Schizosaccharomyces pombe: one gene and its partner. The protein of the gene in region 2 interacts with the protein of the main gene of each other region in a pairwise test. Each region holds a gene or a part of one and is shown on either strand. Other genes may lie near its edges.

Region 1 (5,520 bases), on a different chromosome or scaffold from region 2:
AGGCAGTCAGCAATCGACTCTTTTAATGCTCCTAATTCTGAGTTGTCATGTTTCTTACTTTCTACCCGTGCTGGTGGAGTTGGCATCAATTTAGCTAGTGCGGACACTGTTATTATACTAGATCCTGATTTCAATCCTCATCAAGACATGCAAGCGATTGCAAGGGCTCATCGATATGGGCAAAAAAAAAAGGTACTTGTCTTTGTGTTAACTACTCGAGATTCTGTAGAGGAAAAAATCATTCAAAACGCTCAAAAGAAGCTTGTATTGGACCACTTAATTGTTGAGTCATTGGATCAAAATCATAATTCAGAAAAAGATTTAGAAAGTATCTTGCGGCATGGGGCTCGTGCATTATTTGAAGAGGCTGGTGATGAACCGTCTATTAAGTATAATGAATATTCGGTAGAATTACTTATCTCAGAAGCTGAGAAACAAGAAGATACTTCAACTGATGAATCAGATATAAAAAGCAATAAGTTTGGCTTTTTTCGTGTTTGGGATAACAAACATATATCTTCCAATCATTATGAAGTCAAAGAAAATGTTCTTGTTGATGAAGAAGATGTCTGGTCAGTAATACTTAAGCAACGAGAGAAGGATGCAATGCTAGAAAAAACAGACGAAACAACTTCCAACAGGAGACTTCGTGCACACCACAAAATCCATTATGGCGAAGATTTAAATATTTATGATAATAGCGACGATACTGATTATACCGTTAATGATCGATCATCACCAGGCTCCCCATTTCCCATAGAAACTGAGACAATCAGTTCGATAACAGATACTTTATCTGATAAGCAAAAACTCAAATATGATTCGAGCGTAAATATCGAAAACTTAAATGATGAATCTGATTCTCAAAAGTCTGCAGATGTTCATTTTGACTCTATCTTAGCTAAATCTCTATTAGCAACAACTCCCAAAGAAGATGAATTTAACAAAACTCTATCCACCATCAATTTAGAGGTGGCTAACAAATTAACTTCTTCAGAGTATATTAATGATTCGGAAATGCAACTGATAGACGATCCAGTTTTTTACCCACCTTACGAAATAATTGAAAAAAATCATCAACTGGTTGGAAGATCTTTGTCTAAAGCAGTTCTTGACAACTTTTTTCTACTGTCTTCTTTGTCTGATAATGTACGTTGTCGATGTTGTGGTATTAAACATTTACCAGCACATTGTCCATTAAGCATTGTGCCATTAGAAATATGCTTTTTATGTGGAACACCTCACTTTAGTGGAAGGGACACGTGCCCTATGTTACGAAATAAGGAAGCGATTTATAGACTAAAAGATTCGCTTAGCAAATCACGAGAACCATTTCACATCAAAAAACAAGCTATGGCTAGATTAAACTCGTTTCTACAAAAAAAGGAGGAACCTACTGTATCAAGCAGTGCCAAAACTAATGAACTTTCATCGAAAGTAATCATAAAGGAATCCATAATTAATGAAGCAAAAACTCTTTAGAGTTTTATCATCAATGTATACTATTATTTAATCTGGCATATTCATATGTATCCTGCATTTTATTCGTTAATATATAATTTTTAATATAAATTTTAAACATATATAGCATTTCCATCAAGATCATTATAACAAGGTAGGATCAAATATGGTAACAAGTGATTCAACTCTGAAGCAAATCATGAACTTAAAACCGGCGGTTATATACGAACAACCGCCAGACAAGTGGACAAAAGAAAGAAATATAAAACTGAAATCAGTTTCGTTATCGTTGTCTTCCACACTAAACTTCTACAGGACATAAAAAGCGTTACGAATGGTTTCAAAAAGACGACTTACTAATTCTGCTAAAAGACTTCGGTACACGAAGGAAGGCGCAAAGACTTTTGTGAAAAACGCTACCATCATCGGAGCAGATATTAAAAAATGCGGTAAAAATCTCTTTGTTACTTTTTTCAGGAACCTTCAAAGCAACTGTAAAATTAACATCCTCACCAGGATGAACGGAAGAAGTGATAGGAAACGAATATGGATTGTCTCCTGGAAAAAGTTTGTCTCCACCATTAAACTTGACATACAACGGAGAAGGCCACGATTGACAAGAAGTATTCCTTATATGCCATATTTTATAAAACGGGCAGCCAGGGCTTAATTCTAAGGGGAGAATGGAGTCCTCAACTAACTTGAAGTCGAAATTAAGAACCTTAGGTTTTTCAGGTTTAGATAAATGTAAAGGTGAAGCAGATATTTCGCGAGTTAAACGGAGCATTGAATGATGATCATGATGCACATGAGATACACATGAGGAGCAAAGATCATAGTCTTCACAAACCAGACAATGAAATCTTGGTCCAACTATTGGATGAGCAAGACAGTTGTCACATTGAACCGATCGATGTACTGTTGAGGCAGACTCAAACAATTCGGCTGATAGGAACTGAGGGAACAAATGAAATGAAGGAAGACCATGAGGATAAGCTTTAGTAATTCGAACGAAAGCATGCGTGTTTGAATGACTATTGTCGGTAAGGCAAGACTCACAAATGTCGTAGTCATCACAAACACTACACTTGTAACGCACATTATGTATAGGTTGCTCACAATGGTCACAAATGGCGTACATAAAATTAGATTGGGGAGAAACTGACATAGAATTTACGCTGCAGGTTAAGGAAGCAACTGAAGGGATTGAAGAGCGAACAAGTACGAAATGGGGTTTTGGGCAAGGATGGAGGAATGCCTGTTTCGCATAGCAGTCTCTACAAACATCGAAATCGAAACACTTTGTGCAATGAAATGAGTCATTCCGAATTATCTTGAGGCAAGTGTTACAAGCAACAGAAGAAGACCTTAAAGTAGGCGAATTATTATTGTGCTCAAAAATGTTTGACTTTAAATTATTCTCCTTAGTGAAGTGGATATTAGCGACTGAGGAATGAAAAGGAGGGAAGGAAGGAACACTATGGTTGCAAAGAATCCCACAATCAGAAGAGGGACATGTACGATTGCAAAGCATTTCGGGATCAAAAACGTGAATAAAATAAAATAAAATTTAATGATAAAAGAGAGCGTTAAAGAAAGCAAAAAAAAGAAAAAAATCGCGTAAGCAGTCAAGAAGTAACTCGAGTTCTTAGGTAAGAGAAGGTCTTAATTGTAGGTAAAAAGCTCTTTCGAAATAAGCTAAAGCAAAATTAGTAACGATATTAACTAATGAAATTAGTTGCAAAGTAAAATTTAATAGTTCATATGAATTTTGAAATTGAGGAAATATGTGACGCCGAAGTGAGCAACAGTGCTAGCAATTTCAGAGTAAAGGCAATAGAAAAAACAATCTTTATCAAGACAAGGATTTTTACGTTCTCGTAAATATTTATCGAAGATGTTATTATTAAAGTTCCATCAACCACTTTAGTCCTTCAATCCTTTTTGTAATTTGTTGTACAAACATTGAACTTAAGACTTTGTGCAAGTAAATTATCTTACCTATAGACGGAACAGGAAATAAAGACAAAACAAATAATTGAAGCGGATGTGTAGAGATACAGTGCAAACGAAATGTAAGGAGCGTTGGAATTGCAACTATAATGACGGGTTCCTAATTGGTTATGAAATCAAGCTATTAATTCTAAATGGGATGTATTCAACGGGTGAAGTGAGCAGGACAAATTCGCTAGTAGAAGTTGATGGTAATGTAAATGAACGAGGTCGAGGTGTAAGCTTATCACACGTATATGGGGGATGAGCATATCGTACTGATAATAGATAAGTTAAGCGTCGCTAAAAAGTGGTAGCGTTTAGAAGCGTGCACAGCATAAACAGTAACTTAGCGAATTTATCTACAAGAGGTTGGTACTTCAACGCATGGCCCTAAAAATGAATATATGAAAAATTTTGTTGATGTAGCAAACTTGAAAAAGAAATTGATTTAGTTAAATTGGAAACTACTTAACTTAAGCCCTAAAATGTACTTAGAAATCGGCTTAGACATTAAACTAGATATGGGTTATGGCATAAATGTAATTTAAATGAGATGTGAGTCGATAAAGTATTAATATTATATATTCTTAAATCATAAGTTGACGCTATTCTAATATCAATAAGCGATTATGAACTGAAAACGTAAATAAATGCAATTTCTCTTACAGCGTAAAATCTTTTACTACAATAATAGAAAAGGGTAGGAAAAACTCCATTATATTGGCTAAAACCGGTCACGGTATCTTTTGATGATCCGTTTGTAAAATCAATTGCAAATGAAAAGACACTAGAGAAGGTGATAAACGACCAGTTTATAGCTAAGTTAATAATTAATGGTATACTCCGCGTTATGATTTTGCTCAAATAATAATTTTGGTTTTTTGCTGATTGTTAATATTTACATTAATGAAATTTGTAAATATACGTCAAAACAAATTAACATCATACTTACATTGTCATACTAATCGCACGTTTACGCATTAACGGGAAAAAAGTAAGCAATATTTCAGTTGGATTTTAAGTCACTCATGCACCGAAATTTTTTCCAGCATATTATTAAAAGTACAAGAACATTAGGTATAAATGCAACTTCATTTCTAACCCGATATTTACTTAACGTTGGTAGACACCAGCATCCTCCGAAATTGATTAGCTCATATTCTCACATCGCTATTTCCACCTTCTCTTTTCAAATATCAGCAACTTCATTCCAACACCCTTCATACACTGTCAAAGGTTTGAGCACCTGTATTGATAAAATGAGCCAAGATCAAAAACCTAAAGTTTTGGAAGTGTCCAACCTTGAGAATCAGGATGCCAAGTGGACATCCTTAAAGAAAATCCGTTGGCAAGACGAAAAAGGAAAAATCAGGTTTTGGGAAATGGCTGAACGTACGACACGTTCAGAAGCCAATGTGGATGCCGTAGCCATCTTAGCCATTGTTCCTATCGACGGAAGTCCTCATGTGTTGTGCCAAAAGCAATTTCGTCCTCCTATTGGCAAGTTTTGTATTGAAATTCCAGCAGGTTTAGTTGATTCTAAGGAGTCTTGTGAAGATGCTGCGATTCGAGAGCTTCGTGAAGAGACTGGCTACGTTGGTACTGTTATGGACTCCACCACTGTCATGTACAATGATCCGGGTCTTACGAATGCTAATCTTAAGATTATACTGGCTGACATTGACATGTCGAAGCCTGAAAACCAAAATCCTCAACAACAACTTGACGATGGCGAATACATTGAGAACTTTCCAATCAAGCTTTCTTCTTTACAAGAGGAATTATTTTCTTTAGAGAAGAAGGGATTTGCCATTGATGTTCGTCTCTCCACATTTGCACTAGGATTACATGCTGGTCTTAAATACTTGTCGTCTTAGCTATGCACCTTTTGCTATTCACTGAATTACGACCGTTTACTATTAAATGTTGCTAATGGACTTTTTATGCTATAACTTTCCTTTGTTTTAGTCAAACTTTATTAAAAATAATATATATGTCTATCCAATAATTCCCGTTACCGTGTTCCCCATAATTCGTAGTTCATTGCGTACATAACTGAAAAGT
Region 2 (7,653 bases):
CCATTTTATTAAACACTAATATTTCCAGACTAATAACATTAGAAATTATTAAAGACTAGAGTAGAAATAACCATATCCAACTAATAGCACTTTAAAAAATGACAAGGAATAAACAGCAAAGAAACTCATAAATATCTAATGTATAAAAATTAAATTCGTATCCTTCGTTAAGGTTACCACGGAGTAATCGAATAATATGTAATGATCACAAAAGACCAGAATTAAATAAAGGAAGGTATAGGTGAGGGACCAGTAAAGAGGTATTTTTTTAGCATGAATTTTCTTTAAGTGGCATATTTTGATCGACTTCTTAGTTTCAAACCCCATTTATAAATCAAGAATGGAATGGGGATCATTATGCAAGAAATAACACCAAGAATCGTGCTTCCCCACCCCACTGGGGCATATGAAGGACCTGTATTATTAAACATGGCTCTAGCATATAGAGGAGATGCTGCAGCCATGGAAGATCGAAAAAGAGCATTTCCAGCAAATACTGATGCAACATACTTCGGATATGCAGCTGCCAAATATTGAAACATACTTTGGAACAACAAAAAGGAACCTGATGCGTAGAAAAGTGTACCAACAATTGGTACAATCCAGTGCACCGATTCTCTTCCTGTCCAACCAAACCAAAAGAGTGAAATTGGAATAAAAAAGGCAGCTGGAAATGAGATGATTAAAATTTCTTCAGCAGGAAACTTACCCTTATTTTCCACAAACTTAGGAATCATCACTTTTCTAAGGTAAATAAAGTAAAATGCTACGGTTAGAACTGAACCTACCAATATACCCATGTAAACCAACCCGTTTTCAATAGTCGTAAAATGGTAGACTGTAGTAAAAAGGATGGGAAAGGCTTCGAACCATAGGTATAAAATTGAATATACTAATCCAATATAGATGGTTAATGACAGAACGATTGGTTCTGAGACACACAGAATTATAGGACGAACCAATATTTGCTTTGCAAATTGGCCTTTACTCAATTGCGAGGAGGCTATTTCGGCCTCCGTTTTATAATTTGGATTTCCAGTCAATTCGCGCAGTCTTTTAGCTCTTTTATACAATAAATGCCATTCAGAGGTTTCTGGCATAAAAAAAGTTATAATTACCAAGACAAGTGCAGAAATCATCATCAAAAGCCAAAACTGCCATCTCCATGATTTAGCAACTACCATGGCTGCACCAAGCAAGGGACCTAAAACAGGACCACCTAGAAAACTAGTTAGTCACAAATTCACTATCAAATTAAATGATCCAGCTTACCAACTGCGCCAAGGGACCAGAAACACATGAAATAAGGATAAAGCCATGGCTGCCAAATATCGGCCAGAGAGGCTCCTCCAGTGGAGAGGGCAGGTGAGCCAAAAACTCCCGCCAAAAATCTCATTGGAAGCAAAACACCCAAGCTAGATCCTAGCGCAGTGGGGATTTGCAGACAGATAAAAACAATAAGGGAGAGCACATAAATTTTTTGACGGCCTATTTGAGGTACCTCAGAGAGTGGAGAGAAAATGAGAGGGCCAACCGCATACCCCTCAACGAAAAGAGTCAGCCCCAAGATTACGGGCACGGTTCCTACATGCATCGTCTCTCGAATTTCCTGAATACCAGGAGTAAAGATTGCCGACCCCATATACACGGCAAACGTTAAAAAACAAACATCAAATGTTACTACGAGCTTTGCCCATAAAGGCCAATTTTTTGGGTTTTCAGGATCATCTTCGCCATCCCATGTCACAATAATCAATCCTTCAGAGTTAACCTGGTTAGTTTTCTCGTCGTCAAATGAAGAATCGGGGCAACTACTTAACTCAACATTACTATTATCTGTGCATACTCCTAATTTCTCCACATCAACTTGGCGAGTACCGCCAGAAAAGTATTCCACTAATTCACCAAAAATTGTTTCTCTTAAAAACCACATCCAATCGGTTCTCAATGCAAGTTCTTGTTCTCAGTGGATCGTAATAAAAACTTGACAAAATTGATTGTCATTACATTCCTCGTAGAACTTTTGCTTGCCAGACAGAACCTCTTTAAATAGACCAGTTCTTACTTCATGTCATGAAAATTTCCTTGTTGGACATTGGCCTAAATAGCATGTTTAGCCACTTCTAAGAATTTCCACTTGCGCTGATCTATACACTCGGAAGCAAAATTCGTTGAAACCGAGGATAGGTTTATTCAGTATTAGTCGATAAACATAGAAGCGCTTTGTCGGGAAAAATGTTATCTTTGTCCGTCGCATCGTTTAACCGTAATTCGCTTAAAATATTTACACTATTCTAGCAGTGGCTTAACTTTTGTCAACACAATAAAATTACTTTTAAGTTAGTGGTTTAAGCCTATGAATACATTTAGAAAAGGATAAAGGTACTCTTAACGACTCCATTAGATTGATCTGTTTGTAAGTAGATAAATAGATAGAATACTCTCGCTTGTTAATTACTTTTATGTACAATAAGCTTTCAACAGCTCCATTCATTGATGAATGTAATTTGTACTTTAAATAATAAAAATAAAGTTAAATATTGAAGATTTTTTATTTCATTGGGGAATGCAAACACCCAACTAATTATTTCAAGACATACGGTGATGACAATCTGTCGATACTACTATCATCAAGAAGTTTAGCGAACCTCACTAGTCAAATTTGTACAAATTCCGCGGCAATGGGAAAGAATGCGTTGAGTATATATGGTAAGTTACTGACAATCAGAAGTTAAAATAAGCAAACTAAATTGAATTTACTTTGGTTGTAGTTTTGCAGAGATGTGACAACTCCATAGTTGTACGTATATCAATTCATAGTGTTGTTGTTTGTCAATTACTTTGATTGATTATGATCGTCTAGTTTATGATTGCAAATGCTAATTGCTCTAATGACATTAGTCGGACATCACCATTAATGGATAGAAGTAACGGCTAAGCTAAAAACTCAGATTTTTGTAAATGTCAATGTACTAAATTGATGTCAATTAAACTATTGCTAACCTTATTCATCTCTTTAAAATTACTTCAAAATAAAAAAAGAGTAGCAGGAGACTTTAATATCCCCAACACTAAAGTAATACAAAGTCGCCTTTACTATAATTTCATGTCTTTACTATACAAATGAATACCGCACAAAACGCAAGTTAAATTCATCAAATGTCATGAAAATAAATTAAGTAAGTATTGCTAAAACTTTGGAATTATTGGCAAATGCACCAAGAACCTCCAGCAATTTCTTTTTCATAATCGTCAAAAAGTCTTTGCTTCTCGTTACTCATCTTATGGGTAGTAAAAGGAACATTCTTTGGAATAGCACGAATACTGTTTAAAACTAGTTCATAGTCGCCACTTTGGGAATTAAAAAAGCTTCGAATCATAATTGAAAACTGAGTGATCTTGCTAACGTCAAGCTCCGGGGCTCCTTCTACAGGTCGACCACGATAAGTCGGTTTAAATTCGGAAAACGGAATTGAAACAACTTGGTCTTCCTTAGAATATATAGGTGTAAAGTCGTATTCATATGATAAACTTGACTTCTCATCAGAAGTTTCCCAATCTTGATGACAATCCTTAATGATAAAAGTATATTTATAAGAATCGCTCTTAGCAATATCGAGCTCAATTCCTTTAAACTCTTTCAGGTTCCACGTCCTATCCTTGATATTAGTAGCCTGACTACAGAATCCAGCGCCTCCCAAGGTCTTAGTATCAAGAGTGCCCCAAAACTTGGCGCGAGATTTCCCATCACTATCCTTCTCCTCAGTGAGATGACTTATCGAAGAGCCTCCACGAACCCTATCATCTACAGCACGAAAATCCTGCTCATGCCAATTTTCTGGCTGACCAAAAAGAACAAGCATTTCTTTTTAATGGAGTAATGTTCAACAGCGGTGGATATATGAGTATTTTGTATTCAATAACAAAGGCAAAGGAAAGATATGAAGCCTACTTATTGAATATATCTGCCAAAAATTGAATGATATAGGAAGGCGGTCCATGATGCATAATTACTTCATATGCTACTGATGAAAATTTAACGAGAAAAAGAATTTTGTGCCATAAAATTACTACAACCGTAATGCAGGGAGTTTTGTTAAATATGCAAGGAAATCAGTTTAAATGATATAATACAAAGAATAAACATGTAAAATTAGAAGCAGAGAAAGAAAAAATATTTAAACCGTTTAGGATTTCAAAGCATCTAGCTTATCACGAATGTCCAACAATTGTTCTTCATCAATTTCAGTAGAGTCTTTAGCAATCCCATTGGATAAAGATGGAAGTGCTTGTTTGAGTGATTGTTCACGATGTGTAGCAGCATCCGCTGCTTTTTCTGAAGGTGCAGGAATGACATTATATTTTGTAAGAATTTCTTGGACTTCCTCATCCTCATCAGCCAAATCCATCAATTCTTCATCGTCTTCTACTGGTAGAAACATTTCATCACGCATTTCCTCTAAGACACCTGCCTTTGTAAGTTCCATAGACAGATTTCTCATAGTTTCCGAGAGTTGGGGAAGACGAATTAAAGATGATACATCTTGCATTATCTTTGTGCTGGATTGCATAGTACCTTGTATCTTTAACATAGCCATCTGGTCATTCAGTTGTAGACTTAGGCTTCCTAATAAAGCTTTTGATTCGGCGAGTCTTTTACCATGTCGGTTTGCACGGGCAATTTCTTTAGCCAATATACGCATATTTGTAATATCAGATTGCTTTGCCAATTGTTTCAGCTGAACCTCTGCCTTTTTCCTGCCTGCTTTAAGATGGTATACCTGCCGATCTAGTTGTCGTTGTTCTTTTCGAATGATGGATTGCCATTTTCTGTTTTGTTCTTGAGGCGTCGGACCAAAGAAATAAGATCTTACAGTTTGCATTTTGATAATAAAATATGAGAAATGCTGGGTGATAGGAAAAAATGGATAAACACGTAAATTCCCCGTTTACCAATTAAAAAAAAAACAAAAACGATGGATGATTATGCAATAATACAAGGAAAGAAAGTTATGAAAAACAAAACTGACACAAATCTCTCTAAAAAAATGATACTGAAACCGAAATGATATGAAACCTTTAAAAAAAGTCTTACTTCTTCAATTGTTCAAACGAAGAATCCTCAAATCAGCGTAAACCGAATAGTCCTCAAATAGAGTACATCAAGTTGGTCTTTTCAATTTATGAATTGATTAAAAAAGCGGCTTCTAGGATTTTAAAATCCCGTTTTACAAGAAATCAATTAATTGATCAGCTTCTTGACAATTGACGTTAAACAGACTCAATTTTCTAAAATCGATCAACAAGGATAACTATTAAAACTGCAATTTAACAATTTTATTCCCTAGACGCTTCTGGCACAGTCTTGAATACTTGAGCGTATGTTCTAGAAAATACCGTACCCAGTGACTTATAGTTCACTATATAATGTAGGTGACTTCAAGAACCTGCACTAGACAAACCACTTTAGCAGTTCACAGTTGAAAAGTTTCAACATAAAATTACCATATTGAACCTATTATTTACCTATACTTTTTATCATTAAAGAATGAGTTTAAATACACAAATTCCTGAAGGTATGTTACAACAAAAATCCGTAACACCTTATACTGCGAAGAATCTGAGACGAGAATAAGCCGAATAATTCTCGTTTGAAGATAGTATTTTCTTCGGTTTCTTCACATAAAATATTTGATTAGCGGTTTTGTATATTCTGTTTTCCAATGTACATTTATTTGCGTGTTTTATTAGTGCTTGTTACTAACATTCGTTTAGTTTTATGGGCACAAAGATCCAATAAGGATGATGCTGAAAAGAACGTAATTTACCTCACCGTTTTAATTCCGGATGCTGTTGACCCAAAAATTAATTTGACACCTGAAAAACTAGTTATCGATAGCAAATCTGGAGCCAACGCTCATTACGCAGTTCAAATTGACTTTTTTAAGGACATTGATGTCGAGAAAAGCAAGTACTCTGTTACCGGCCGCTACATCTTTTTCGTCTTATACAAGAAGGAATTACAAGAAGAGTTTTGGCCTCGTCTTACTAAAGAGAAACTTCGATTACACTGGCTCAGAACGGATTTTGATCGTTGGGTTGACGAGGATGAGCAAGAAGCACAACCTGAAGTTAGTCCATTTGGCGCAGGTGGCATGCCAGATTTGAGCGCACTTGGAGGTATGGGCGGTATGGACTTCAGTCAATTTGGTAACCTTGGAGGAGCTGGAGCTGGTGAAGATGCTAGTGACAGCGAACCTGAACTCGAAGAGGAAGAGGAAGTTGGCAGTAACGAAAAGAAAGAGTAATAATGTTATCATGTAATCAGTCTTAAAATGCATCCATTTTATCTTTTACGTTTCATACAAAATTGCAATCAACCTTTTTGTGAGGTGGAGCGGAGCAAATTTGAGCTGCGTTGACAGTTTTTTATTAAAAACAGTAAACTAAAGTACCATCTTCTACCTATATGGCTGAATATATTGATTAGGAAATGTTTGTTCCCAATACAGATATGTTGCTCATGTATTAAGACCCGTACGAATTGCATACTTTAATGATTATATGTCAAATTCTATTCCTGAATGGTTTCATATTATGATTTTATATAGAATGTTTAGTTAGTCATATGAAATTTACTAGCTCACATCTGCATATAAAAAACTTTATTTTCGTAGTCATGTACTTCAGAACCGTCGAACATCATTTTAAGTTACTCAGATAGATATTAATTTAATATCAATATAAATTTTAAACAGAGTCATTTAATTGAGGTAATTTACCAAATGTAAAATAAACAAAAAAATAATTACGCCGGGGTGTGTTTTTTTTCGGCAACATATGCTTTTCTGTTTACCATCACCACAGCATAATATCTCTCATTAACTCCTTCAATTACCCGAGGCAATTAGACATTTATTTTTTAACTCTTGACCACAAAGTAATTAAATACTGAATTTGATGAATAATTCCTAAACGATTGATTGTTAGTTGTTTGCATTGTTAATTTTATTAATTACGATTGCCCTAATCGTTGCAAAATCCTCTATTTATTTTTCCCTCCCATTGGACATTTTTGGACTTATGTTTATTGACCTTGGACTTTTTATTGCTTAACATTTTAGGTCGTTTGAGGTTTTTATCCCATTAGAATTTTTTTTTTGTAGACTTTGCGACTTGTGATGAAAATGTTTCAGTCTTTTTTTTCAAATTACATAGATATAAATTTTTTTAGAAATGCAACGTTAGACCAATGTCTACTGCTTTTTTACCTTTCTTTGTTTTCCCTTACAAATTTGTTCCTTATTCAAAAACTATTTCATGCCAATCACACCCAACACCCCTTAAAAAAATACTTTGGAGAAACATGTTTGTTAGAATACATTCAAATTATCCTATCTATTGTCTCTGCCGCACTTTCATTTTACTTGGACACTAATGCTGTTTGGTGGGCAATACGAACTATTACCCATTTGGAGATCGTTGGTTTAAACATTTTGTCATCTTTAAAATATGGATCAACCCTGTTTTCCTGGATTTCGGTAGCAAATGCTTTTGGGCTTCTTTTACTAAGACTGATAAGCATCTATGATTTTCTAACCTATTCATCCTGGAGCTTTTCAGTTAAAGGCGGATCCTTTCTTCTCCTGCTTC

The links. Proteins that work in one complex are often made in the same cells at the same time.
Region 1: the proteins of SPOM_SPAC9E9.15 (region 2) and nbr1 interact in a two-hybrid assay, tested with the Schizosaccharomyces pombe proteins (one large-scale study listed by BioGRID).

The regions. Positions count from the first base shown.
Region 1 is NC_003423.3:984,843-990,362, forward strand, and holds nbr1 (protein Nbr1), read right to left. Parts: upstream 3,668-5,520; 5' UTR 3,463-3,667; intron 3,160-3,462; 5' UTR 2,996-3,159; coding exon 1,802-2,995; 3' UTR 1,541-1,801; downstream 1-1,540. Other genes in the region: SHREC complex ATP-dependent chromatin remodeller Mit1, read left to right, coding at 1-1,482; subfamily NudF ADP-ribose diphosphatase Ysa1, read left to right, coding at 4,716-5,333.
Region 2 is NC_003424.3:4,466,891-4,474,543, reverse strand, and holds SPOM_SPAC9E9.15 (protein CIA30), read right to left. Parts: upstream 3,999-7,653; 5' UTR 3,864-3,998; coding exon 3,204-3,863; 3' UTR 3,129-3,203; downstream 1-3,128. Other genes in the region: MFS family transmembrane transporter Mfs1, read right to left, coding at 285-1,219, 1,273-1,933; ESCRT III complex subunit Vps24, read right to left, coding at 4,188-4,883; p23 chaperone protein wos2, read left to right, coding at 5,549-5,576, 5,776-6,308; abc1 (ABC transmembrane transporter Abc1/Ybt1), read left to right, coding at 7,182-7,653.